Mus musculus: one gene and its partners. The protein of the gene in region 6 purifies or fractionates together with the protein of the main gene of each other region. This does not show direct contact. Links are inferred from orthologs where the notes say so. Each region holds a gene or a part of one and is shown on either strand. Other genes may lie near its edges.

What was found.
Region 1: the proteins of Iqgap1 (region 6) and Actb purify together in Homo sapiens (affinity purification with mass spectrometry; 4 studies listed by BioGRID and IntAct, with this or other methods). This does not show direct contact. The link is inferred for Mus musculus from reciprocal best matches to the Homo sapiens genes IQGAP1 and ACTB.
Region 2: the proteins of Iqgap1 (region 6) and Diaph1 purify together in Homo sapiens (affinity purification with western blotting; 3 studies listed by BioGRID and IntAct, with this or other methods). This does not show direct contact. The link is inferred for Mus musculus from reciprocal best matches to the Homo sapiens genes IQGAP1 and DIAPH1.
Region 3: the proteins of Iqgap1 (region 6) and Dvl2 purify together in Homo sapiens (affinity purification with western blotting; 3 studies listed by BioGRID, with this or other methods). This does not show direct contact. The link is inferred for Mus musculus from reciprocal best matches to the Homo sapiens genes IQGAP1 and DVL2.
Region 4: the proteins of Iqgap1 (region 6) and Hectd1 purify together in Homo sapiens (affinity purification with mass spectrometry; 3 studies listed by BioGRID, with this or other methods). This does not show direct contact. The link is inferred for Mus musculus from reciprocal best matches to the Homo sapiens genes IQGAP1 and HECTD1.
Region 5: the proteins of Iqgap1 (region 6) and Ctnnb1 purify together in Homo sapiens (affinity purification with western blotting; 3 studies listed by BioGRID and IntAct, with this or other methods). This does not show direct contact. The link is inferred for Mus musculus from reciprocal best matches to the Homo sapiens genes IQGAP1 and CTNNB1.
Region 7: the proteins of Iqgap1 (region 6) and Myl6b purify together in Homo sapiens (affinity purification with mass spectrometry; 3 studies listed by BioGRID and IntAct, with this or other methods). This does not show direct contact. The link is inferred for Mus musculus from reciprocal best matches to the Homo sapiens genes IQGAP1 and MYL6B.

The regions. Positions count from the first base shown.
Region 1 is NC_000071.6:142,903,955-142,907,972, reverse strand, and holds the start of Actb (actin, cytoplasmic 1), read left to right. Parts: upstream 1-1,218; 5' UTR 1,219-1,321; intron 1,322-2,280; 5' UTR 2,281-2,286; coding exon 2,287-2,409; intron 2,410-2,496; coding exon 2,497-2,736; intron 2,737-3,190; coding exon 3,191-3,629; intron 3,630-3,724; coding exon 3,725-3,906; intron 3,907-4,018. UniProt on the Homo sapiens protein: Actin is a highly conserved protein that polymerizes to produce filaments that form cross-linked networks in the cytoplasm of cells.
Region 2 is NC_000084.6:37,932,677-37,936,653, reverse strand, and holds the start of Diaph1 (protein diaphanous homolog 1), read left to right. Parts: upstream 1-1,177; 5' UTR 1,178-1,335; coding exon 1,336-1,452; intron 1,453-3,977. UniProt on the Homo sapiens protein: Actin nucleation and elongation factor required for the assembly of F-actin structures, such as actin cables and stress fibers. Binds to the barbed end of the actin filament and slows down actin polymerization and depolymerization.
Region 3 is NC_000077.6:70,003,592-70,007,091, forward strand, and holds part of Dvl2 (segment polarity protein dishevelled homolog DVL-2), read left to right. Parts: intron 1-1,213; coding exon 1,214-1,283; intron 1,284-1,563; coding exon 1,564-1,709; intron 1,710-1,845; coding exon 1,846-1,955; intron 1,956-2,070; coding exon 2,071-2,206; intron 2,207-2,346; coding exon 2,347-2,437; intron 2,438-2,544; coding exon 2,545-2,614; intron 2,615-2,699; coding exon 2,700-2,839; intron 2,840-2,922; coding exon 2,923-2,999; intron 3,000-3,500.
Region 4 is NC_000078.6:51,746,380-51,749,536, reverse strand, and holds part of Hectd1 (E3 ubiquitin-protein ligase HECTD1), read left to right. Parts: intron 1-525; coding exon 526-1,133; intron 1,134-3,157. UniProt on the Homo sapiens protein: E3 ubiquitin-protein ligase which accepts ubiquitin from an E2 ubiquitin-conjugating enzyme in the form of a thioester and then directly transfers the ubiquitin to targeted substrates.
Region 5 is NC_000075.6:120,932,142-120,936,199, reverse strand, and holds the start of Ctnnb1 (catenin beta-1), read right to left. Parts: upstream 2,801-4,058; 5' UTR 2,562-2,800; intron 1-2,561. UniProt on the Homo sapiens protein: Key downstream component of the canonical Wnt signaling pathway.
Region 6 is NC_000073.6:80,800,532-80,804,770, reverse strand, and holds the start of Iqgap1 (ras GTPase-activating-like protein IQGAP1), read left to right. Parts: upstream 1-1,439; 5' UTR 1,440-1,575; coding exon 1,576-1,630; intron 1,631-4,239. UniProt on the Homo sapiens protein: Plays a crucial role in regulating the dynamics and assembly of the actin cytoskeleton.
Region 7 is NC_000076.6:128,495,886-128,499,837, reverse strand, and holds the start of Myl6b (myosin light chain 6B), read left to right. Parts: upstream 1-1,152; 5' UTR 1,153-1,210; intron 1,211-2,420; 5' UTR 2,421-2,466; coding exon 2,467-2,637; intron 2,638-3,196; coding exon 3,197-3,224; intron 3,225-3,441; coding exon 3,442-3,585; intron 3,586-3,952. UniProt on the Homo sapiens protein: Regulatory light chain of myosin. Does not bind calcium.

The DNA of each region.
Region 1 (4,018 bases), on a different chromosome or scaffold from region 6:
ACTGAGGCACGGCAGGCCCAGAGCATCTCACCTGAAGCACCCTTCTTGCCTAAATCCAGCTTTCTGTCACACTCTCCCAGAAGGTGCGTGTCCTTCTAAGCTAAGCTGAGGGATCCGGCCCTCAACCCTGACCCCGTGTGTAGCTCTCAGCCAAATAGCTGGCTTGCTAAGTAGAACACTGGTACTTAGGTGAGGGGGACAGGGGCTGCTTCTCTCTGGAGGATTTGGGGCTCCGGTGACCACCAACTTTTCCCTGAGCAGCTTGTCACTCCCAGAATCCCCACGGCTGGCAGATGGACTAGTGCACAACTCAGCTGTGGCTGCACATAATAAATAGAGGATAGATGGTGGGCCCCAGCCCAGCGATGTCTGGCAGTCACCCAGAGACACTAGCTAACGGCCCAGGCTTAGTCTTGCCTGGGTGTGATCAGGCAGTTCTCCAAAAGTGCCTGACTCCATGAGAAGTTTTGTTTGTTCTATTGAGCACAGTTCCTTTCTAGATCCGGGGCAGGGGATATCTGGAGGCATCTTCTTGCAACACCTCCAGTTATTGGACCACTGGGGCTCGCCCTATGCTTGGGATAGGATGGCCTTGAGTCTCTAAGAGGTCAAGATCCATGAAAACCTCTCCAACCAGAGTTCTGCTTCCAAGTTGAACCCCAACACACCTAGCAAATTAGAACCACAGCAGAAGGGGCCCCCCCGGATCTGGCTTTCCGGCTATTGCTAGCAATTGCTAGCAAGGGGGAGTGACTCTCTGTCCATTCAATCCAGGCCCCGCGTGTCCCTCAAACAAGAGGCCACACAAATAGGGTCCGGGCCTCGATGCTGACCCTCATCCACTTAAGTGCTCGATATCCACGTGACATCCACACCCAGAGGGTCCTGGGGTGGTTGGGTGACCCCCAGAATGCAGGCCTAGTAACCGAGACATTGAATGGGGCAGTGTCCACAAGGGCGGAGGCTATTCCTGTACATCTGGGCCTACGGAGCCAGCACCCATCGCCAAAACTCTTCATCCTCTTCCTCAATCTCGCTTTCTCTCTCGCTTTTTTTTTTTTTCTTCTTCTTTTTTTTTTTTTTTTTCAAAAGGAGGGGAGAGGGGGTAAAAAAATGCTGCACTGTGCGGCGAGGCCGGTGAGTGAGCGACGCGGAGCCAATCAGCGCCCGCCGTTCCGAAAGTTGCCTTTTATGGCTCGAGTGGCCGCTGTGGCGTCCTATAAAACCCGGCGGCGCAACGCGCAGCCACTGTCGAGTCGCGTCCACCCGCGAGCACAGCTTCTTTGCAGCTCCTTCGTTGCCGGTCCACACCCGCCACCAGGTAAGCAGGGACGCCGGGCCCAGCGGGCCTTCGCTCTCTCGTGGCTAGTACCTCACTGCAGGGTCCTGAGGATCACTCAGAACGGACACCATGGGCGGGTGGAGGGTGGTGCCGGGCCGCGGAGCGGACACTGGCACAGCCAACTTTACGCCTAGCGTGTAGACTCTTTGCAGCCACATTCCCGCGGTGTAGACACTCGTGGGCCCGCTCCCGCTCGGTGCGTGGGGCTTGGGGACACACTAGGGTCGCGGTGTGGGCATTTGATGAGCCGGTGCGGCTTGCGGGTGTTAAAAGCCGTATTAGGTCCATCTTGAGAGTACACAGTATTGGGAACCAGACGCTACGATCACGCCTCAATGGCCTCTGGGTCTTTGTCCAAACCGGTTTGCCTATTCGGCTTGCCGGGCGGGCGGGCGGGCGGGCGGGCGCGGCAGGGCCGGCTCGGCCGGGTGGGGGCTGGGATGCCACTGCGCGTGCGCTCTCTATCACTGGGCATCGAGGCGCGTGTGCGCTAGGGAGGGAGCTCTTCCTCTCCCCCTCTTCCTAGTTAGCTGCGCGTGCGTATTGAGGCTGGGAGCGCGGCTGCCCGGGGTTGGGCGAGGGCGGGGCCGTTGTCCGGAAGGGGCGGGGTCACAGTGGCACGGGCGCCTTGTTTGCGCTTCCTGCTGGGTGTGGTCGCCTCCCGCGCGCGCACAAGCCGCCCGTCGGCGCAGTGTAGGCGGAGCTTGCGCCCGTTTGGGGAGGGGGCGGAGGTCTGGCTTCCTGCCCTAGGTCCGCCTCCGGGCCAGCGTTTGCCTTTTATGGTAATAATGCGGCCGGTCTGCGCTTCCTTTGTCCCCTGAGCTTGGGCGCGCGCCCCCTGGCGGCTCGAGCCCGCGGCTTGCCGGAAGTGGGCAGGGCGGCAGCGGCTGCTCTTGGCGGCCCCGAGGTGACTATAGCCTTCTTTTGTGTCTTGATAGTTCGCCATGGATGACGATATCGCTGCGCTGGTCGTCGACAACGGCTCCGGCATGTGCAAAGCCGGCTTCGCGGGCGACGATGCTCCCCGGGCTGTATTCCCCTCCATCGTGGGCCGCCCTAGGCACCAGGTAAGTGACCTGTTACTTTGGGAGTGGCAAGCCTGGGGTTTTCTTGGGGATCGATGCCGGTGCTAAGAAGGCTGTTCCCTTCCACAGGGTGTGATGGTGGGAATGGGTCAGAAGGACTCCTATGTGGGTGACGAGGCCCAGAGCAAGAGAGGTATCCTGACCCTGAAGTACCCCATTGAACATGGCATTGTTACCAACTGGGACGACATGGAGAAGATCTGGCACCACACCTTCTACAATGAGCTGCGTGTGGCCCCTGAGGAGCACCCTGTGCTGCTCACCGAGGCCCCCCTGAACCCTAAGGCCAACCGTGAAAAGATGACCCAGGTCAGTATCCCGGGTAACCCTTCTCTTTGGCCAGCTTCTCAGCCACGCCCTTTCTCAATTGTCTTTCTTCTGCCGTTCTCCCATAGGACTCCCTTCTATGAGCTGAGTCTCCCTTGGATCTTTGCAGTTTCTGCTCTTTCCCAGACGAGGTCTTTTTTTCTCTCAATTGCCTTTCTGACTAGGTGTTTAAACCCTACAGTGCTGTGGGTTTAGGTACTAACAATGGCTCGTGTGACAAAGCTAATGAGGCTGGTGATAAGTGGCCTTGGAGTGTGTATTGAGTAGATGCACAGTAGGTCTAAGTGGAGCCCCTGTCCTGAGACTCCCAGCACACTGAACTTAGCTGTGTTCTTGCACTCCTTGCATGTCTCAGATCTATCCATACAGTTTCACCTGCCCTGAGTGTTTCTTGTGGCTTTCTGAACTTGACAACATTATTTATTTTTCTCTACAGATCATGTTTGAGACCTTCAACACCCCAGCCATGTACGTAGCCATCCAGGCTGTGCTGTCCCTGTATGCCTCTGGTCGTACCACAGGCATTGTGATGGACTCCGGAGACGGGGTCACCCACACTGTGCCCATCTACGAGGGCTATGCTCTCCCTCACGCCATCCTGCGTCTGGACCTGGCTGGCCGGGACCTGACAGACTACCTCATGAAGATCCTGACCGAGCGTGGCTACAGCTTCACCACCACAGCTGAGAGGGAAATCGTGCGTGACATCAAAGAGAAGCTGTGCTATGTTGCTCTAGACTTCGAGCAGGAGATGGCCACTGCCGCATCCTCTTCCTCCCTGGAGAAGAGCTATGAGCTGCCTGACGGCCAGGTCATCACTATTGGCAACGAGCGGTTCCGATGCCCTGAGGCTCTTTTCCAGCCTTCCTTCTTGGGTAAGTTGTAGCCTAGTCCTTTCTCCATCTAAAGGTGACAAAACTCCTGAGGCCATAGTACAAGTTAAGTCTGATTTCTGTCACTCTTCTCTTAGGTATGGAATCCTGTGGCATCCATGAAACTACATTCAATTCCATCATGAAGTGTGACGTTGACATCCGTAAAGACCTCTATGCCAACACAGTGCTGTCTGGTGGTACCACCATGTACCCAGGCATTGCTGACAGGATGCAGAAGGAGATTACTGCTCTGGCTCCTAGCACCATGAAGATCAAGGTAAGCTAAGCATCCTTAGCTTGGTGAGGGTGGGCCCTGTGGTTGTCAGAGCAACCTTCTAGGTTTAAGGGGAATCCCAGCACCCAGAGAGCTCACCATTCACCATCTTGTC
Region 2 (3,977 bases), on a different chromosome or scaffold from region 6:
GTCAGTGGTACAAGAAAGGAGTGACAGGTAGCTCACTGTCTTTTCACTCAGCATTGGAATTCTTCTGGACAGTCTGCAGTAAGATGAGCTGGACAGCTCTATGCACCGTCTCACCCAGCAGTTGGAAGGTTGGAAACAGGAGATAAAGGCCAGATGTAGGAGACAGCAAAGTTAGTAGACTCCCTGATATTAGCTAAGTACTGGAGACTCCAAAAACTTCTGACCCTGTCATCAGAAATATACACTTGCAATCCTTTCCTTCAGACCTCAGGGTTATTCAGTTCATACTAGAAGGCCCCACATTAGGTAGATGTAGTCAGGAAAATGGATGGCATTGCTGAGGGGAGAGATCATATAAAGACCATACCCAGAGTACTCTTGGGCATGTTTGGTTAATGCTTGTGGGGAATCCTGGGTAAACACGTGGATGTCAGATTAATCTGTATAAATTTCTATCAATTATAAGTCACTGCAACTCCCAGAGTCCAAATTTCTTTAGTGGTGATACCAGTAGACTCCATGAGGAAATTGTGAGGATTTAGTGAGGAAAAACATGTCATGTTTAACATATGGCCTGGCCTATAGTTTGTGCCCAACATGTAGTAATTATTTAATTGCTGGTTAGGCTATTGGCAATAATTGGTTTGCCCATCTAAGAAACAACTAGAAAGCTAGTCTAGGATTCAGAGCTGGGCAATGAACTCCAGCTGGAATTGGCGCTGGCTGGAACTCAGTTCTTTCTACATCAGGTAACTTCTCACATTTTTCACTGCACAGGCATCATATACATAAAAACTGCATTATCCCACCAAAAAAAAAAAAAGCCTTAAATTTTCAACCAAGATAAAAGTGTCTCTACGATAAGCGTCCTGGTTCAGACAATAAAATTCTGGCTGGAGCATGAGATGGTCTAGCTTTACAGCCACGTGGGTTTCTGCGTGGGAGCCTAAAGGTCTACCCTGTTCCAACCGCCAGGGGGCGGTACTCCCCGCTGTGGCCTGGCAGAGCAGCGCCGCCCACTCTCTATCTCACCCCCCACACGTGGGTCCGAATGGTTAGGCCCGCCGGGCAGGTAGCGCGCTTCCGCGGCGTCCCGCCACCCCCCTCCCTTCCCCCATTGGTAGGGGCTGCGGGTCCGGGCGGAAGTGGGGCAGGCGGGCGGGAGCGAGGCGTCACCGTTGTATATTCATGAGGCGCGCGCAGCCCAGCATGTTAATGAGGCGGGGCGCGGCGGCCGGCTAAGAAGGCTGCTGGGCGGCGGCGGTGGTTGCTGGCTCGGGGCAGCCGGGCGCGAGCGGCGTAGACAAGGGGTCACTTGCCGGCGCTAACCAGGACATGGAGCCGTCCGGCGGGGGCCTGGGGCCCGGCCGCGGTACCCGGGACAAGAAGAAGGGTCGGAGCCCGGATGAGCTGCCTGCGACGGGCGGCGACGGCGGCAAACATAAGAAATTTGTGAGTGTCCCTCCCACCCTGCTCTTCAGCCTGGCGGAGTGGCCGCCCTCTGGACTCGGGCGACCCTCGCTGCCCTCCGGGGGCGTCTGCCTGCAGCTGGGGAGCCGCCCCCGCGCCTCCCTTCCTGGTTTTGCTGGCTCCTGGGCTTCGCGGTCCCACATTCTCCCCCTCCGGGACATCCGGCAGCCTGGATGTCCCACCTGGCCCTCGCCTCGGCCACCTTGGAGCTTCCCTCGCTGTTCAGTCCGCAGGCTCTGCGCTCCCGTCCCCGTGCCCCCGCGGGCTCTCAGTCCCACTTCCTTTCTTCTTCTGCCTCTGGTACCCCAACACGTCTTTTCTCTCTCTCTTTTTCTTTCTTCCTCTTTGCACCCCTGTAAGCTGTTCTAAGTTCTCTTCTCACCCATATCCCATTTGAGGTATCTTTTTCTTTTAAAAGGTCATTTCCTTTCTCACTAGTAATCCTTTTCACCTGCTAACTTTCCTCCCGCCCTGTCCCCTTCTGCCCGGTGTCACCTGGTAATGCTTCCCCTCAGGAATGTTACCTGACTTGAGTCTCGTCTCCCCTCCTTCTTTGGACGTTTGTCCTTGTGATTGTTGGTCACTGGGGCATGGCTGTAGTTGGCTTCCCTATCCACAAAACCTGTTTCTTTTTGCCCTGTTGCTTATCACTTCAGAGGGTTAGAACTTCTTTCAAGATACTATGCCCTTCATGACCCGAGATGGTGATTAAACCTCCCCCTTGAGGAGCGACTTAGACTTCAACTCCAATAAGTTTATGAGTAATTTAATTGCTTTTTATACACTTTAAAAAAAATAACCATTTTCTCAACTTATCCTTTACCATCTTCTGGGCCCCAAGGTTCCTGACATTCCTTTTCCTACCACCTGTAGGAGAGAGCGAATCTTTCCTTAGTGCCCAGTACTTCTAACCCCAGGCCGAGGGACTGTTGATGTTCATGTGAGCTGTTTTACTACCTGTTGCCGTTCCTAAGTCCTCTGTCCTCTCTATCCAGGGAGCTACTTACCTCTTACTGTAAAAGCTTTGAAAGATACCAAGGGGGGGGGACTGGGGGGGGGGAAGAAGAGAAAGAAATAGTTTCTGTGTAACTATTTGCCTATTGTTAACTAGATATTTAGTTTGGCCTTCCAGGTAACATAGTAATCTTTTTGACCAACTAAATGGCTTATAGCTCTTATGCCTCCCCCTACCCCCAATATTCTGATCCAAGTCCACAAGTTTGGGAAGTAACTGATAAGTGATGGATAATGGGAAGAAAGTGTTTGGTGACCTGCAGGGTTCAGAGCATATTATTCTGAATTAAAAGAGTGACTCATCTCTTCCTATTTCTAGCAAGACCAGGTGCTCCTAGTCTGTCCTTTCCAGTGACATACAGGGTGTCAGTAACTGTTTGATCCAGCAAGTACTATTGTAGAAATAGGATCCTTTGGCGACCAGAGCAGTATATCCTTAGGTTCTTTCTTTAAGGGTAATAAGAATTAGTCTTCCAGTCCGAACGTTTTCCTTCCACAACTTTCCTTCTATAGTGTAAGTTGTAGGACCTGTATTTCTTCTATTTCTGTATTTTTTTGTTTTGATTTTGTTGCCATGGATACTGTTTGACCTTCTCCATCCAAACTCTGGCTATTCTTGCTGATTTGTGATGACCTCTGTGACTTGTTACTGTTTGCTTTGTTTCAAATTTTATATGTGCTTCTTAATTAGATCTAACACAGTGTTTTATAAATTGGTAAAAATCTACTTAAGTAAACTCTCCCTGTAAGGCGAGAATTCCCAGGGAACCCAACTTCTTTTCACCTGTTTTTTTTTTTTTGGCATGTCACAGAGGCTTGTGTAGCTGAGTGGATTTGGCCCAGAGTTGTTATTTGCTGTACAGAGGGTGGAGCTGAACCTAGTTCTCTTTTACTGAGGTTCTGGTTTTAACCCTTACCTTGACTGAAGTTTTGAAAGTAGGTAGTGCAAGCTATGAGAGTTGGACCGCTTCCAGGAAAGCCGGCTGCTTCAATTCCTAATTGTCAACTACAGTCTCCCTTCAGGCGTGAGGATAGTCTTTCTCACTGCTTTTTATGAGAGCTATGAAAGTGGGAGACAGGGAGCCTTGCAGTCTTCGTCTCCTTGTCCCTGTGTGTGCACACGTGTGGGAGTGGGTGGAGTGGGTGAGATTGCTGGGGTGCTTCTGTTACCCCGGCTCCGGTTCCCTGAATTTACTGGCTAAATCCAAACTCAAAGCTGTTTCGCCTACTCCACCTTTCCTCCTGTGCAGTATCCGCCAGCACGCCCATTCTGAGTGTGCTATAAAAACCCTCGGGCTTGGACTAAGGGTGCTTGAAGCTTTGTCTTTGAGTGGTTGCAGCCCCTCAGGCTGCTTGCAACCACACCTTTCGGAGCGGGTGGTTTGCATTTGAAGGACTGCAGTTCATACCTTTCTGGCTTATGCAGATTCTAAGTCCAGGCAGCCCGAAGTAACAGAGCTTATCTATTGTCTGGGATCTGCCCTTTACCCTCT
Region 3 (3,500 bases), on a different chromosome or scaffold from region 6:
CAGATTGCTTAGTGAGGTGAGGTGGCCCGGAATTGGGAAGCCCAGCTTCCTCGCTCCATGGGAGCGTTCCACACGTGGACTGTTATTGTTGCATGTAAGGGTGATTTTTTACCCAGAAAAGCCACACATTTGGGTGGCTCTGCTTGTGAATTAGAGAGAACTCAAAGGCAGCAGGTTCCGTGAGGACCAGAGGCTTTTATGGGACAGATGTGTAGGACAGAGATGGTTAGGCGGCCAGCCAGGCTCTTAAATTAGATATTTGGAGCAGTTGTGGGAACTGTCCCAAAGGGACTTTGGAGTGGTACTTTGAGGTTTGGATCAAATGGGAAGAAGTCTTTGGAGTGGCATTGTGCCTCTAAGGATGAGTTGGGGTAGTGGTAAATGAGAGAGTCTAGAATTTTTATTTATTTATTTGTGTATAAAAGCAAGTTACTTCACTGTGAAAGCAGAGGAGCTGGGCATGGTGATGCATGCTGGCTGAGTGGCATAGCCAAGTTTGGTGACATATGCCTTTAATACCAGGATGGAGAGGCAGAGTTAGGCAGCTCTCTGTGAGTTTGAAGCCAGCCTGGTCGTCGCTACCGCTGCTGAAAAAAAAAAGGGCAGAAGTCTATAGACAGTTGGCTTAGAGGATGCCGCTGTGTTCTGTTCTTAGCACTAGCACCCACTGGTGGCTCCTGACTCCCTGTAACTAGCTCCAGGGGAGATAATATTCTCCTGTCCTCTGCAAATACCCTCATGTGACAGCCATGCACACAGACATGTACATATACATTAGGGGAAAAGCAGACGACGTGTCAGTCAGGGCAGCAAGTCACCATGCTTGGGCAGGATGGAGATGGGGAGAGACTTGGAATGAGATTTGGAATGGGAGTGACTAGTTTAGCTTTACTAATCTCCCCCATCCCCGTGTTTGTCCCACCCCCACCCCCAGATGGGGTTTCTCTGTGGAGCCCTGGCTGTCCTGGTTCTCTCTGTAAACTAGGCTGGCCTCAAACTCAGATCACCTGCCTCTGCTTTCCAGAGTGCTGGCATTAAAGGCATGCACCACCACCGCCCATCTAGGGTGTGTGTGTGTGTGTGGTGTGTGTGTGTGTGCGCGCAAGAGAAACCCTTGCTCACTGAGTGCCTCTTGCCTCGGCCTCCCAAGTGTTAGTTGAAGGTGTACCCCATCACACCTGGCACCTTACTAATCACTCTGCTCTCTCCGCAGGGTGGTGAAGGAAGAGATCTCCGATGACAATGCCCGCCTACCTTGCTTCAATGGAAGGGTTGTCTCCTGGGTAAGGGGACTCATTACTGAGCTGCTTCCAACCTCAGTCTGTCTCTGCAGCCTCCCCCCTGCTCAGTCGCGGGTGGCCTGGCTTCCCTCTTCTCTAATGTGGATACAGTGAGCACTCCTCGGCCTCCTCTTCCTATAGCCTCCCGTACTGGATTGTTTTTTCTGGCCTCTTCACCCAGGTCTCCAGGACCCTGTGTCCTTCTTTTCTGGTCCTTTTCCTTAGTTTCTTCTCGTACACCGCTCCCCAGCAGAACCATGTTTTCTTACGTGCTCTCTTCTAGCTTGTGTCGTCAGATACCCCACAGCCTGAGGTGGCTCCCCCAGCCCATGAGTCTCGGACAGAACTGGTTCCTCCGCCTCCACCCTTACCCCCTTTGCCACCAGAAAGGACCAGTGGAATTGGGGACTCAAGGCCTCCATCCTTCCAGTGAGTCCTTTATATTCTTGAGTCCAGGGGATGGGAGCGAAGAGGGAATTCAGTCTAGACCTCTTGAGAGAGGGGGACTGAGGTTCCGGTGCTCTGTCCGACTGACTTTGGTTGGAAACTCTCTCTACCTGTGTAGCCCTAATGTATCCAGCAGCCATGAAAATCTAGAGCCTGAGACAGAGACCGAATCTGTCGTATCACTGAGGCGAGACCGACCTAGGAGGAGAGACAGCAGTGAACATGGCGGTGAGGGGATGGACCCTGGAGGCAGGGTAGACTGAGCTGGGCAGACAGGCAAGCCTTAGCATGCTGGGTATGAAGAAGGGGAGGCCTGGCTCCTGAGTCTCTTGTTTATACACAGCTGGTGGCCACAGGCCTGGTGGCCCCTCGAGGCTGGAGCGCCACCTGGCTGGCTACGAGAGCTCTTCCACCCTCATGACCAGTGAGCTGGAGAGTACCAGCCTAGGAGACTCGGATGAGGATGACACCATGAGTAGGTATGGCTGCACACTTCCCTCCCTGTTCCCTCCCTCCTCCCCCCTCCTCCCCTCCCCCTCCCCCCCAGCCAGTCTTCTTGTTTCATGTGGCTCCCTGACCACTTCCACCTCCAAATGCTATGCTTCTCAATTGCTATCAGGTTCAGCAGCTCCACTGAGCAGAGCAGTGCCTCCCGCCTCCTCAAGCGCCACCGAAGGCGAAGGAAGCAGCGGCCGCCACGCATGGAGAGGGTGAGGGTTCTTTTGGGATGAAGTGGGCTCTGGTTGAAACACAAGCTTGTGGCTTCTCTCTCTGTTGACGGGGAGCAGTTCACACCTTTCATGTCTCCCCGCTGTAGACCTCATCCTTCAGCAGTGTCACCGATTCCACAATGTCTCTCAACATCATCACGGTCACGCTCAACATGGGTATGGAGGGTCCTGACGGGGAGAAGGGAAGGAGAGAGAGGGGCTTGGGGTTTCTGGGGCTCAGTCATATGGCCCCCCTCCACAGAGAAGTACAACTTCCTGGGCATCTCCATTGTGGGCCAAAGTAACGAGCGTGGTGATGGGGGCATCTACATCGGCTCCATCATGAAAGGGGGCGCGGTGGCTGCGGACGGGCGGATCGAGCCTGGAGACATGCTTTTGCAGGTGCGCTGACGGCCTGGCTGCTGGCTGGGGCGGATGCTCTGCCCCTCCCACACTGCCCATGACCCACCACCCCTTCCCTTCAGGTAAATGATATGAACTTTGAGAACATGAGCAACGACGATGCTGTACGAGTGCTGAGAGACATCGTGCACAAGCCAGGGTGAGTGCGGCTGGCCCCAGGCCTCTTGGGCTTAAGCCTGTTTACCTTTGTTTTGCAATTTTTATAAAGACGTGAGGCCAGGCATGGTGGTGCATGCCTTTAAACATGTTATTTGAGGCACAGTTGGGCTGAGTGTGAGGCAGCCTGGTCTGCAGAGTGAGTTTCAGTCCATCCGGGTCTACATAGCGAGAAAACAAAAACCAAACAAAACAAGGGCTGTAGAGATGGCTCAGCAGTTAAGAACACTGTTTGCTCTTCCAGAGATCCTGAGTTCAATTCCCAGCAGCCACATGGTGGCTCACAACCATTTGTAATGAGATCTGATGCCCTCTTCTGGTGTGTCTGAAGAGACTGACAGTGTACTCACGTACATAAAAAAAAACAAATACGTCTTTCAAAAGAGAACAAAACCCACAAATTGCAAATCTCCCTGGCATGTCACTCCACACTAGAGCATGAAGCAGATGTGGGTGAGCACCTGAGAAGAGGCCACCCACTGTG
Region 4 (3,157 bases), on a different chromosome or scaffold from region 6:
AACTCAGGTGACTTTAATGGTAGTAGCTCTTACCCAGCTAGACAGTTGGCAGCCCTAGTTATTGTTTTTTGGGGACAGGGTATTAATATTTGCCCAGGTTGGCCTCTACTTTTATAACTAAATAACCTTAGTGCCATTAAAATATTTCTAAAGGAGCTTGACGCGGTGGCGCACGCCTTTAATCCCAGCACTTGGGAGGCAGAGGCAGGGGAATTTCTGAGTTCAAGGCCAGCCTAGACTACAGAGTGAGTTCCATGGCAGCCAGGGCTATACAGAGAAACCCTGTTTCGAAAAACAAAAAAAAACAAACAAACAAAAAAAAAGTGTGTATATATATATATATATATATATATATTTCTAAAGGATTAAAGTTGGTTTCCAAATTAATTAACATGCATGCATCTTCAGATGACAAAATTTGAAAAGATGTTTGATGTTTGTGATTCTTTTGTATGGCAGTTGGGAGGTTTGGTTACTATCTTATTTACTTGGCTATGTATTAATGTGTCGTTTTCCTTTGTGAAGGTTGATCTTGGAGGTGGATTGAAGCCTCCAGGATACTATGTACAGCGGTCATGTGGACTGTTCACAGCGCCATTCCCACAGGACAGTGATGAGCTTGAAAGGATCACAAAACTCTTCCATTTCCTTGGGATTTTCTTGGCCAAATGTATTCAGGACAATAGACTGGTGGACTTGCCTATCTCTAAGCCTTTCTTTAAACTTATGTGCATGGGCGACATTAAAAGCAATATGAGCAAACTAATCTATGAGTCCCGCGGCGACAGAGACTTGCACTGTACTGAAAGTCAGTCGGAAGCTTCTACAGAAGAAGGCCATGACTCCCTCTCAGTGGGAAGCTTTGAAGAGGATTCAAAATCAGAATTTATCCTCGATCCCCCTAAGCCCAAACCCCCAGCCTGGTTTAATGGGATTTTAACTTGGGAAGATTTTGAACTAGTAAATCCTCACAGAGCCAGATTTTTAAAAGAAATTAAAGACCTTGCTATTAAGAGGCGCCAGATTCTAGGCAATAAAAGTCTTTCTGAAGATGAGAAGAACACAAAGTTACAGGAACTCGTGCTCAGGAATCCATCAGGCTCGGGACCTCCACTGAGCATCGAGGACTTAGGGTAAGAGTTTGTGTACATTCTTCAACCTAACAAATGAGGAAAGCTAAAGGTTTCTGTTTCTCTGTCCCTATGAATCTGTAGGCTGTCAGTGAAGTCTAGGGCAGCGATAGACTATAGCAAATGCTGATTGTCTGTTTGAATATGTATGGCTTCTTTGGTATGATACTTTGCTAGTGTCTGTAAGGCCCTGGGTTGGGTCTCCAACACCGCCTAGAACCTAGCCTGGGGACATATGACAAAATCCCAGCGCTGGGAAGGCATAGGCAGGAGAATCAGAAATTCAAGGTTATCCTTGGCTATATAGAAAGTTTGAGGCCAGCTTGGGATACATAAGACATTGCTTAAAAAACAAAAAACAACAACAAAAAAACAAGATGAAAACATTAATCATTTTATTTTGGAAGGATTATCTGATTTTTCAAATATGATATATTGTGTGTTGTATACAAAAATTCAAAGCCAATATTTGGGCAACTTACATATCATGTAAAGGTCAAAAATGATTGGCATTTATTTATTTACTTACTTATTTATTGGCTCTATCAGCCAATAAATGCTACAGCTATTGATAAATTTCTTTCCTGTATATATAATTGTTATACCTTCAAGTACTGTCATATATTCTTTTTAATGTTTCCTAGTGATTGTAAGAAACAGTGTTTGGTTCTGCACTCATGCTACATGAGTGTTTCAGTCATAAATGGACCACATAAACAAGGTTGCTACCATACAATTAGCATGGATTTAAAATTCTGCCACTTGGTCTCTTCGTCATCTCTTTCCTATGTTAATCTTTTTGTTGAAGGATTTATCTCATGTATATGAGTAATTTATCTGTATGTACACTTGCATGCCAGAAGAGGGCATCAGATCATTGTATAGATGGTTGTGAGCTACCATGTGGTTGTTGGGAATTGAACTCAGGACCTCTGAAAAACTGGACAGTGCTCTCTCGAGCCTCTGTTTACCTGTTTTTAATCAGGGACAGTTACCATTGTAATACACTTGTCTACAGTATTCAGCAAAGTAACATGCTGTACAGGTTTGTGGCTGAGCAGTAATGCTTTGTCATGGAGTCTGTATGTGCAGAAAAATGTATCATCTGTATTTGTTTAAGTACAGCTCATGTTTGTACGACAAAAGAGTTGCCTAGGACTGGAGAGATGGCTCAGCAGTTAAGAGCGCAGTCTGCTCTTCCAAAGGTCCTGAGTTCAAATCCCAGCAACTACATGGTGGCTTGCAACCATCCATAACAAAAAATCTGATGCCCTCTTCTGGAGTGTCTGAAAACAGCTACAGTGTGCTTACATATAATAAATAAATAAATAAATATTAAAAAAAAGAGAGAGTTGCCTAATGGACACACTTCTAAGATTGTGTCCATCATTAACTGTTAGATAACTGCCAGCTGTGGTGGTGTATGCCTTTAAACTGAGAACTGGGCACTGAGGCAGGGAAGTTGCTGTGAGCTCAGTGACCCTGTGATCTGCATAGTGAGTTCCGGGTTAGCCACCAGGGAACATAGTGACATGCTATCAAAAAACAAAAAAGTATTAGATAAACACATGTTAAAGGACTTTGTTTTTCCATATATATACACACACACACACACACACACACACACACACACCACACATACATACACTTTGTATAACTGTGAATAATGAAGCAATAGTTTCTTCTCAGGGAGAAAAGCCTTGTAAACATTCTCCTGTAATAAGTCATTATGGAAATCTTCAGTTGAATAATTTTTTTTTCCTTAAAGAAAAAGTGATTCATGGCAAACTGTGTTTTTATGTAGTCTTTGCAGAGCCCAGAAAGCTTGCAAGCAGTTGTCTTAATAGTTCTATGCACAAGGTTTTCGCCCTTAACGCTTCTCCAAGCCCTGCCTTTGAGCTCCAGCATGTCAGATAAATAGATAAGAAAACAGAGGGAGGCCAGATTTACTCTAAGCTGCTGTTCAGGTTTCTGTTGGTGGAGCGCGGGGCATTTATGGTTTGTTATAAACACTGACGGCTGCTGAA
Region 5 (4,058 bases), on a different chromosome or scaffold from region 6:
GTTGCTGAAGAGCAAGCATCGCAGGGCTGCCTAACATTCCTCAAGCTGCGTCCTCTCAGGACAGAGGCTGCCTCCACAGGCCTCAGAACTGTAGCTGCTCATCTACTTTACTCTCTGTGGCATGAAGATGTCTTCAGTGAGATTGTTTTAAATAAAAAGGAGTTGACAGGGGCCACAAAACAACAAAAGAAAATGGAGTTAAAATGTTTGTACGTTTGCAAGGTTTTTACGAGTTTGTGAACACCGTTTCAGGAGTTTGTCCCTCGGGTTTGCTTCTGGCCAAGGACACTAAAAATTTACCACTAGGTGATGGGCAGAGACCACGACCTGGCCTCACCTCACCTCACCTCAGCACTGATATTTCAGTTGACTCCATCTACTTTCACTGTCCACTTCCTGCTTAGAAGTACAGCAACAAACGACTGTAAATATACCACTCCACTCCACTCGCCACCTGCAGTGTGCACAGGCTCTTGTCCATGCTCTGCCCTGAGTTTATTTGCAAAAGGGCTCCACCAGTTTTCCTGAGCACACATTTCAAAATACACTCCGACTAAGAAAGTTCCCCATCCTCCACCTTGGCGGTGGGATTCTGGGATTCTGAGACTCGTGAGCTAAGGCTTCACTCACAGTCTCTAGTCCCATCGTCACTACAGCAGTAGATACTTCCCTTCAAGCTGGAGACATAGATACCCAATATACAGTCTCTAAACTAGTGTTCTCAATCTGGGGGTTCAACAACCCTTTCACAGGGGTCACCTAAGACCGTGGGAAAACATTTACATTATGGTTCACAACAGTAGCAAAGTCAGTTGTGAAGTAGCAAGGAAAGTTTTACGGTTGGGGTCACCATAACAGTTGAGAAACTATTTTAACAGGTCACAACATCAGGAAGACTGACTGAGAAGCACTGCTCTAGACTATGAGAAATGATCACATGACAGTTAAACTCTATTTCTTCACGCCTGCATTCGATTAAATGTTTCCCTATCTGAAGATAGTCTTTTTACAGACTGTGAGGCCCAGGACTCTGTCCCAGGCAAGCTAAGCTTTCCAGATAGCCTGCTTCCTTAATTAAGGACTTCAGCCTGGGAGGGTTTGTTGTAGAGAAACATCTGCAAGTTTCCAACTTCCTTGCCACCACTAAAGGCCTTGTCCAGACTCGGCCTTGAGGACAAAGGTTAGGTAGGTCACAGAATGACTATCCCCAGTACCATCAACAATGTTGTCCGCTGTGAAAGGGCGTTCTCAAACAAACCTTGGAGGCACTTCATTTTAATTTCGGGGATTTCTGAATGTTTAAGGTGAAAGTGAACTAAATGTAACTGCGGGCCTTAACTCAAAGTTTGAGCCGGACATACAAAACCGAAATACAAAGGCCACAAGCTTAAGCAACATTAAATTAGAACCAAGAAAGCAAGCTCTTTCCCGGGACGAGGAGAGACTGCACTGAGACATCTGCAAACCTCAAGTAAATAGCGAAATGGCTTCCTAAATCCCAGACAAAACGCTTCACAACTTGGCCATGTGAAAAACATGAGGCAGACTTTATCAAAGGCAAAGCTGCCGTCTCCTCAGCTTGCTGTCTGGTCTAAGCCACCATTATTCATGGCACAAAGCTCTCGTTTCACTAAAACCACTCCTCGATTTCCTCTCGCCGACCTCCGCATACCAGCAGCCCAGCCGCTCTCCATTCAGAGCTCAGGCCCCGGGAGGGGGGCTGCGGGGGGCGCGGGGGAGGGGAGCCCACAGATGTCTGGAGACCCGAGCCCGAGACAAAGCTGCCCCGCAGCCAGCGGGCTCACCGGAGCGGGCCTGGGGTACCGAACTTGGGAGCGTCGGTTCCAAGTCTGGTCCCCCAAACAACACTCAGAACAAGTCGCCAGGCTCCCACGCCCTGGCGGTCCGCGCTCCGGCCACTCCGTCTCGCTCAGAAAGCAAACGCGCTGGGGAGAAACACTTGGAGCGGACCCCACACTTACTGGCTAAGGGCAAGTCCCCCTCCCCCAAGCCCAGGTTTCGGATCCCGCGCACCTCCCCCCCCCCCCGCCTCCAACACCAGGAGTGGCCGGTGACTCGTCCACGGTCCCAAATTCCCGCCAGGACCTCGGCCCCGCAGCCACCAACCCCACGCGAGTCCAAGAAGCCACCCTCCGAGAACACGCTCCTGACGCATCCCGCCCGCTGCATCCAAGTTTGGCGACTCCACGGCTTAAAGTTGTTTGGATTCAAACTCACAGTCAGGTCGTTGCAGGGAGAAAAAAAAATTTGTCTGTGCGTGCTCCACGAGGGACAGAGGGGACGAGCGCCAGGTCTCGCGTCCCCCCGGCTCCGCGGGCCACGGAGGCGAGGCCCCCGCCCACCCCGCCCCCGCGGCGGCCCCAGCCCGGACGCGAACCGCGGTCCCCACCCCCCACGGCGGCCAGCCGTCCATCCGGGCTCCCGGCGCGCGCCCGCCCGGCCCCGGCCCCAGCCCGCGCGTCCCCGCGGCCTCCCGCCGCCACCCGGCCCGCGAAGTTTCCCGCTGGCGCGGCGCGAGCCGGCCCGCCGCGGCGCCGCACCTCAGGCCCGCGCGCTGCTCACTCGCGGCCGCCCGCTCGGCCTCGGCCTCCTGCACTGACGGCTCGGCGCCCACCGTGCTCCGTCTCCGCCTCCCCGGGCCGCGGGCTTCACAGGACACGAGCTGACGCGGCCGCCACCGAGCGAGGGCTTAAGATGGCGCCGCACAAGGAGCGATTTATAAGCGGCGCGGCACCGTGTATCCTGCCGCTGCCGCTCCGCGCGGAGCGTTCCGCCGCGCGAGGACGAGGGGCGGGGCGCGGGCGGGCCGGGGAAAGTAGTCCCCGCCAGTCCGAGTCGCTCTGCGCGTGCGCCGCCGGGAGGGGCCGAGCCGGGGCGGGGCGTCCAGACGCCGCTCCATTGGAAACTAAAGGAATCGAGAGCGGGCCGCCGCCGCGGGCCGGGTGGAGTGCGGCCTCGGACGGCGCAGGTTCGAGGCTGCCATCACCGGTGCACCGGCCGCCACACCCCTGAACCACCATTGGACCCCACCACACTTTACCGCTCCCAGGAGTGTCCCGCTTCCCTTCCCGCTGTGCCTCTGGAATCCGGACAGGGAACCTGGGGCCCAGCCACCTTTCCTCCCCACCCCAGGAGGCCTTGGAGTCCCCAAGAGTGTCTGCGAACATCTATTAACAAGTGATTCAGCTCCACCACTGCGTTCACCAGCGTGATTCCTAGAAACCCCATCTTACCCAGACTCACTGGGTCAGTAGAACCAGGCGTGGGGACCAAGGACAGCGATTTTTCTGTATTGTTTGAGAAACTCGAGTGTGTTGCTGAGAGGACCTGTGGGTAACCTCTTAAATTTTCAAAACTAATTTTGTATCCTTCGAGAGCTCCCCCCCCCCCAAATCATGACAATAGGGTGAAGTTGGATCTTCTCTTGGAAATGGCCCCATTGTTGTCCTTCACGATTGGCACTTGTCAAAACTGGAGCAGTTGGGGTGAATTGGCTGTCTCCAGCCTATTATTCTGAGCTCACGTCTCTTCCCAAACAATGGCAACAGGGAAAGTTGCCCCACTGCCTTCTTTCATCCCAGCGCTGTAATTAACGCAAGTAAACAATAGGTCCTTATGTACAGGTACTGGCAGGAAGCCCATGCATCACTGAGGCAGGGCCGGTGCTGTAGGGCCAGCTTAGTTTTTAAATGACTCAATTTTCTATCTTAAAGACATATCACCGTAACTCTGTGAACCACCACAGTCCACCATGCTGGAGCTGCTCAGTGAGGGCCTTTGTCTAGACCTTTCCCCTCTGCAGCTCTGCTCGGATTTCCGGAGAGTAAACTCTGCTGCTGGCTGGGGCTGACTTGGCCTGCCATAACTCAGAGAGATAGAGCAGGAAAAGGTATTTTACCAAAGCCCTACCAGTGGTGGTTGCAGCTACCAACCCCTAATTTTAATTGTCACATGCAGAGTTAAAGAATATTTGGTCGATTCGTTTAAAATTAGATAGCTGACTTCACCTCTGTCCGGGGTTTCCTTTCTTTTCTTTT
Region 6 (4,239 bases):
CTTGAACTCACCGAGATCTGCCTGCTATTGTCTCCTGAGTGCTGGGATTAAAGTCGTGCCTCAACATGCCCAACTAAGAAGAAAGTTTGTAAGGAAAGAGCTAGTAAATTGAAAATGGCTGGAACAAAGAGCCTGGAATTGGGTTGTAAAGGTGCCCACCTGGCATGGGAAAGTACACAAACTGCACTGTGAAGGGAGTAACAGGAAAAATTACATCTATGACAAGAACTCGGAAGCTGGGTGTGGTGGCACATGCTTTTAGTTCTAGCAATCAGGAGGAAGAGACAGGTGGATCTTCAAGGGTAGCCTTGCCTATTTAGTGGGCTCCAGGACAGCCAGAACTACATAGTGAGACTTGTCCCCCTTCCCAAAGAACTCCGTACTTTGGAAAGAGCATGCTGGCAATCATGATGATCTGGTTGGCACAAGTGAGAATAGAGATTATGATGATCAAAAAAGTGTTATCACAGGTGGGGACAGAAACAAAACTAGATGCTTCAGAAATAGAGGTGAGTCGAGGAACCTGGGGTGTGTGTGTGACTGGTGATGGAACACTTCCAGAGAGTGGGGCAGGAACAGGATCAACGTTTGACAGGTTTTAGTGTCTGTGAGAGGTCCAAAAATGCACGTTAGATAGTTTGGAACTACTGAGGGGCTTCTAGATGGTCTGGATTGTAAGTAGAAGCCATCAACTGTTTATGGTGAGGGTAAGAGTCCTGAGAATGGGACTTTTACTTTATTATTATTATTATTATTATTATTATTATTATTATTATTAGAGCCAGTGATTCACTCCAATCCAGGCTGGTTCAGAATAGAATTCGGTTGAATACTGGCACTTTAAAAGATCACAAGGGTAAAGAGACGAGGCATCCTTATTAATAGGGTCAAGATAACCCCCCTAAGATCTTGCAGATTGTAAAGAGCTGATAAACAGCTCTTCCGCGTGAGCATCGTCATCCCCCAGTTTAAGAGATTGAGCAGTTCTATTCTTTAGCACTGTTGGGGAGAACAGAGGTCAGATTGACAGAATGTAGCAGAGAGTAGGAGTGGGAGTCTTTCCTGACAGTGGGTCCTACTTGCTTCCAATAATCACACTCTGGGCCACTTGCAACGGCTCCTTGAAGGAGCCGCGGTGCAGAGGGGGTTAACTCAGTTGTCAGGAGAAGGCAGGCGCCTAAAAACATTTGGATTTCAAGCTGTAGACATTGGCGGCCTTTTAGTCAGAGCCGCAGATAGGGCGACAGCGGAGGAGTGTCGGGACAACGGACCAAGCCGGCCTAGGGACTCGCTACAGCACCCCGCCTCCTCGCTTCCGCAAGTGGAGAGCGAAGAGGGCAGGGGCGGGTCCTGTAATACTGACCACGCCCCTTCCGCTCGCTCCGGGGAGCGCAGCTGGGCGTGGACTCAAGGGCGGGGTCTGCGGGGCGGGACCTGCAGGGTGGGGCCGATGGCGCGGGGCGGGGCTCTGAGGACAGCGACAGCCCGCGCACTGGGCAGGAGTTACTGCTGCTACGGTCGCCCGCGTCTTCAAGGTCTCTGCGCTTCCTCACCGGAGACCTGGACTCGGCCGCCATGTCCGCCGCGGAGGAGGTTGATGGCCTGGGTGTGGTCCGGCCGCACTATGGCTGTGAGTGCCGAGGGCTTGGGGGTGCGCGGGCGAGGGACCAAGCTCGGGTTTTCCCAGGGGCTCAGCCGGGCGGGTGCGCCGGGTGGCTTGGGACCGCACGGACCCGGAAGAGCAGCTGGCTGTATGGCTGGTAGCAAGGTTGGCGCCCGAGCCTTCTCGAGCTCCGGAGGCGGCGGGTAGAAACCTGGAGGCCTCTGCCTTCGCTAGGCGCTGCGGCAGGGGAGCCCCACCCAGCTCCTCCACCGGTTAGTTCTACTGAGATTGGGGAAGACGGCCTAGGGTGAGGTGGCAGGAGAACTGACTGTGCAGGGCGTGTCCTGGGCACTGGACCCAGGGGTTCTGCTCGGGCGTGGTGGGAAGGTGCTGCCCGGATTGCTGCCTGCGAGGGTGACCCAGGGCGCAGACCCGCGCAGCCTCAGGCTAGCTGCGAGGTGCAGTTTTAGGCAAGCAGCTTATGCTTTCTCCTGCTGGGTTCTTTCTTTAGCATTTCAAAAGTAAAATTAAAACATAAACACACCCAAACCGGCTCCCCCCACTTCCTCATTTTCTGTGACTATCCCTGCAACCTTAGTAAACTAACCAGCTGTACGTGGGATAGTAGTTACAAGAGGATCCCTTTGAGTCCCAGGTTTAGATTTTATGTTTTGGGAAAAGTACTTTCTTAAAGGATACTTTAACACATCCAGTTATGCATTGGATAGTGTTATAATGTGTGCTACGTTTGTGAAATTAGGGATGAAAAAGATCAAACAGTGCCTTCAAAACCTGTCCGAGAAAGAGACAGGTGTACAGAGATTGATAATTAGATGAGGGGTTGGGAATTTAGCCCAGTGGTAGAGTGCTTGCTTAGCAAGTGCAAGTCCTCAGCTCCAAGAAAAAAACCAATAAGGTGCAATAAAGATAAACGATGCATGAACTAACTCTAACTGGGTATAAAGAGTAATGGGGGTGAAGAGAAGGGACTTAACAAGGCCATGGGAAGGTAGGTGCTGACTTTTAAACAGAGGCTTGGAGGATGCAGTGTGGGGCAGGGTGAGCAAGACATGACTTTGAGAGGGCAGACACAAACTAAATATGGTATTGGAGAACATAGGGTTACTGTACGTGGAAAACCGAGGGCATCGAAGTGCAGAGGTGGAATTGAAAGGGAGAGGAGAAAAGTAAAAAGGATTTCCCGAAGTAGCCCAGGCTAGAGTGAGAATAGCTCTGATTGCCTTCCCAAGGAGTTATCCCTTGGGAAGACAGTGGAGAAGGCAGATGGCTACAAGGTAAAGTCCACAGGCCCTGGAGTCAGGTGGGCTGCAAAGGCCCTTGATTAGCCCTCTGACTGAGTTCTTCCAGCCTCAGTATCCTCAGCTGTCAAATAGTGGTGATCACAGGATGGGTCTGGGCTAGAGTAGGAGCATGTGTGTAAACTGTGTAGTCCAGGAGCTTCGGTTATGAAGAGAGGGGAGAGTGTGACCAACAAGGATAGACTATAGTTGATGCCTCTTGAAGCTACAAGAAAATGTAGTACATATATATTTAAAACACTTAAAATTTTGGTTCCTTGATAATTTCTTTTTTAAAGATTTATTTATTTATTTTATGTATATGAGTACACTGTAGCTGTACAGATGGTTGTGAGCCTTCATGTGGTTGTTGGAAATTGATTTTTTTAGGACCTCTGCTCGCTCTGATCAACCCCTCACTCAGGCCCAAAGATTTATTTATTATTATAAATAAGTACACTGTAGCTGTCTTCAAACGCACCAGAAGAGGATGTTAGATCTCATTATGGGTGGTTGTGAGCCACCATGTTGTTGCTGGGATTTGAACTCAGAACCTTTGGAAGAGCAGACAGTGCTCTTACCCGCTGAGCCATCTTGCCAGCCCCACATAGCATGTGTTTTTTTTTTTTTTTTTTTTTTTTAAAGATTTATTTATTTATTTATTTTATGTGAGTACACTGTAGCTGTCTTCAGACACACCAGAAGAGGGCATCAGATCCCATTATAGATGGCTGTGAGCCACCATGTGGTTGCTGGGAACTGAACTCAGGACCTCTGCAAGAGCAGTTTTGACTCTTGACCACTGAGTCTACTCCTTGAGAATTTCATAATATAAAAAATGAAATGTGATCATATCTATCTCCTATCTCTTCCCTCCAGTGATTTATCTGAAACTGTATCTCACTGTATAATTCTGGCTGACCTGAACTTACTGTTTAAGACAGTCTGGCCTTGGACTCAGAAATCTGCCTGCCTCTGCCTTCCAAATGCTGGGATTACAGGCTTGTGTTATCACACCTGGATCTTTTTCTTTAAGGAAATTCTTTTATGTGTTTGGGTGATTTACTGGCTTGCATAATGTCTGTGCACCATGTGTGTACCTGGTACCTGCAGAGCCCAGAAGAGAATGTCTGATTCTCTGAAACTGGAGTTATAACTCATGAGCCTTCCTGTGGTGTGCATGCTGGGAATTGAACCTAGGTCCTCTGTAAGAACAGCCAATCCTCTTAACTGCTGAGCCATCTCTCCAGCCCCTAGGCTCTCTAAAATAAAAAATAAAAAAACCCCACTAAGTTCAGCTAGTGCTGTCCCTGTGTGTATGCGTATCTTGACTGTCCA
Region 7 (3,952 bases), on a different chromosome or scaffold from region 6:
CTTATTCACTGTTGTTTTGAGTCTCACTGTATAGCCCAGGCTCGTTTGTCCCCCCCCCCCCCTCACCCCCCGACTTGGGATTACATTTGTGTTATCACCAAGACTGCTTTCTTGTTCTTGCTTTCTAGTTTAAGACAAGCTCTCAGGCGTCCCTTCCCTTTCTGCTCTGAAACTGGATCTTATGTAGCTCAGGCTGGCCCGAAGTCCCTACGTCCCAAAGACATCTGATTCTTCCTGTCTCCACCTCCTGAGTGCTGGGACCCAGAGCTTTGTGCAACCAACTGTGCTACATCCCTTGCACCCGTACAGACCTTTTTACTCAAGCTTTTTCCAGCCGGGGAATGTCCGTTTCAGGGTACAAAATTGGCTTGTGCCTCATTCTTCCTATGGCGCCGCTGGGAGTCTTCTACCCTGAGCTATTTCTGGTCCACTTGCTTGCACAAGCTCTAGTATGAGGCGCGCCGCCAGAGTTATTTATTCGTCTGTTTCGGGACGGTGGGCCGGTTCCCTCTCTGCACTCAGACATTTGCTAAACTCCAGGGAGAAAGTGCAAATACTCAGGCTGGGCAATGGTGTCGGAAAGGTAAAGAAGGACTGCAGAGCCCAGCGTTGCATTTGTTGGGTATCTCGGGGGGGGGAGACCGCGGTGCATTGGCGGCCTCAGCAGACGCCTCCACAAGGAGGAGAGTGGAAGCAGATGGCCAGGCTAAATTGTAAATCTTAACATCTACTTCAGTCAGTCTTTCGACCACTATCAAATGTGAAATAAATAAATAAATAAATAAATAAATAAATAAATAAATAAATAAAACGCAAAACTCTGCCAAGTTACACCATTCCGCAGCTAACAGCCTGAGGAAGCCCCCGCTGCCGCCCCGCCCACCGCCCGGCCCCTCCCACCGCCCGGGCCGGCCCCGCCCCTAGCCTTGCGGGCGTCTGTGGGTCTGCAGCCGCAGGGTCATGGGTGGGGACAGCTCAGGCCCTTTCAATTCCGGAACCGGCGCACGCCTCAGGACCTGAGTCACCAACTGTCACCAGGGGCCGGAAGTCACCACCAACTCTCACGGCTGGGAAAAGGTTTCCTGTGAGCCTGCGGGTGCTCGCGGACTACGACTCCCAGCATGCTCTGCGGCAGCCGCACTTAACCCTTCAGGGACAGGAGCTGCCCTGAGTCCCGCCCCCCACCTGCCCCTTCCTCGGACCCGGCAAGGTGAGTTTTGAGGGGCTGGGAGGGTCTTTTTCCTCTCTAGGGCTTAGGAGTGAGTGAAAGTGAGGGAAACGGGCGTTTTGTTTAGGAAGGATTCTTTATTTTCCAAAAATGGGACAATTTGCAGTAAAAAGATTCTGACGCCCTTTTGCAAATGGGAGACCCACTGCTACTCTGCGAACTCCAGGGCCTAAGTGGAATGACCAGTCTCTCAGAATGCCATGTAATTCTTCTTTATCCAAGAACAGAGTAGCCAGAACCTCCTAGCTCCCAAACATCATCTTTTCCCTTCATCAGCGCTTCCAGCAAGGTTTGTGACTCAAAGCTCAGCTAAGGTTTTTGATGTGATCCTGACCAATGGTGTGTCCGTGTGGATACCTATGAACTCCTTTGGAGGTCCTGTAACCTTTTGGGTTATTAGGGGGCTCTTTGTCTCCCAGGGCCCCCTCCATGTGTGTGTGTGTGTGTGTGTTCCCTCCATGCTCACTAGGCATTATAGCCTTTTGTTTGATTTGAATAACATTGTCTTGTTGAAAAATGTTCCTTCTTTGGAATTATGTGTGACAGATGTTAAGCCTTGCCTACACTGGAACCCCTAAACCAACATTAGGTATAGAAGTCAGTGGGTAATAACACGCTCGAGTTACTGTGCATAGTTTAAGGTTGGGGGTAGGTGGGGGCCCAGGGATTACAAGTTCTAAGGATACGGGAAAAGACAGAAGGGAGTGCAAAGGCCTCCTCTCACCTTTTACTGTTTCCAGAACAGATTTTAAAACTTCCCACCTGATACCAGCCCCCCACCCCTCTACCCCGACTCCACCCCAAGCCCTTGCTTTGCTTGGGCTTTCCCACGGTCTAAAACTAATGCAAGTTTTTGTTTGTTTTTCTACTTTAGTTTTCTTCTTTCTCCCCTTAGCTCCTATCTCAGAATCACTGGCAAACATCCTATCTTCACCCTGGAGGTTAACAATCCCTATTCTGACAGGTCTCGTGTTTCTTCTCTGTACCCTTAAAGAAAACATTCTATTCAGCTGTAGGAGAGTGGTATCAGAGGGAAGAAAACTTTGGGGGCAGGAGTCCTGAACCATAGGAGGCCAGGGGAGTGAGGGCAGACAGGCATAAGTCTCTTCCCCCTCACCCTTGCCAACTGGCTCCCTGTCCCTGCTGCTGCCCCCGCCCCTTGACATCCCAGACTCCCTGCCTATTTAAACAGAGATGGGTGCCCCCATCAGCACATTGTTCTTTGGCCACCTGACATCATGCCTCCCAAGAAGGATGCTCCCGTGAAGAAACCAGCAGGGCCCTCCATCTCTAAGCCTGCTGCCAAGTCTACACCAGGGACCCCTCTAGCCAAGGCCAAGGCTGAGCCGGCTGCCCCCCAGGCACCTGCAAAATCCCAGGAGCCCCCTGTTGATCTCTCCAAAGTGGTGGTGAGTCCTGGGGAAGTGTGAATCTGGAAGGGATAGTTCAGAGATGCGGTGCAGCCTTGGGTATCCGGGAATATGTGGAAAGGATAGGGAATGAATGAACGCTGGAATGAGGTTGGGGCTCCCAGGTCAGGCCAGTTTCCGAAGTGAAGGGAGAGGGGTGCTGTCTGCCTCTGGCTCTTCTGTTCAACTCAGAAGGCTACATCTCTGAACCCCAGGAGGGGAGACTGAAGAGGGCAGGCTTGTTAGACAATCACAGCTGGGGGCAGGGGTAAATTTAGCCTTTGTTCAGCCCCCAGTTATGTGAGGGATGCAGGACTCGGGGTAGCAGGAGGGAAGGGAACAGGTGGCATGGGATTAACCCTGTTCCCAAGAAACCCTCCCCCTGTAATTCCTCTTGGGATTCTCCCAAGGCCCAGAGCTGGGGACAGGACTGAAGTGGCCCGGCTCCCCGCCTTCATCCCTTTGGGTCCCTCCCCAGAAGTGGCTGCCAGTTGGTTGTGATAGAGAGGGACTGAATAAGCCCTGTCATCTCCTCACCTGCCCTTTTTGTCCCCTACAGATCGAGTTTAACAAGGACCAGCTGGAGGGTGAGGAGAAGCCCATTTCCTAAGCCCCATTGTCAAACCCCAAACTCCTGGTCAGATTCTCTGTTCTAACGACAGTCCTGACCTTGAAACCTCCCACACTTGTCCTGTTCTCCTCCCTCCCATGCCTGGCTCTAGCACATGAATTTCTGAAGCAAACCTCCCTCTCTCTGTTGGTGATGGGGATCCTTGGTCACACTGCCTTCTCCTTACATCTCAGAATTCAGAGAGGCCTTTGAGCTGTTTGACCGAGTAGGTGATGGCAAGATCCTGTACAGCCAGTGTGGGGACCTGATGAGGGCCCTGGGCCAGAACCCTACCAACGCCGAGGTGCTCAAGGTCCTGGGGAACCCCAAAAACGAGGGTGAGAGGAGCCTTGAGTTTTGTGGGGGTTTCTGTTTTCTTCTTGGTGTTGAACGTTGAATACAGGGTTCTGCCTGGGCCATTGAGCTACATTTCTAGCCAGCAACTTTCTCTTCTTCCTCTTTTTCTTCTCTCTCTCTCTCTCTTTCTTTCAAGATAGGATTTCAGTATCCCAGCCAAGAATGACCTTACATTCTGATTCTCCTATCTCCACCTCTTGCTACTGCCCACTAGAGTGGTGGGATTACTCCAGTTTATGTAGTGCTGGGTTGAATCCAGGGCCTCAGGCAAGCCAGGCAAGCCCTTATTACAGAGGTACTGTTTTTTTTTACTTTTTGAGACAGGTGCTCACCAAATTACTCAGGTTG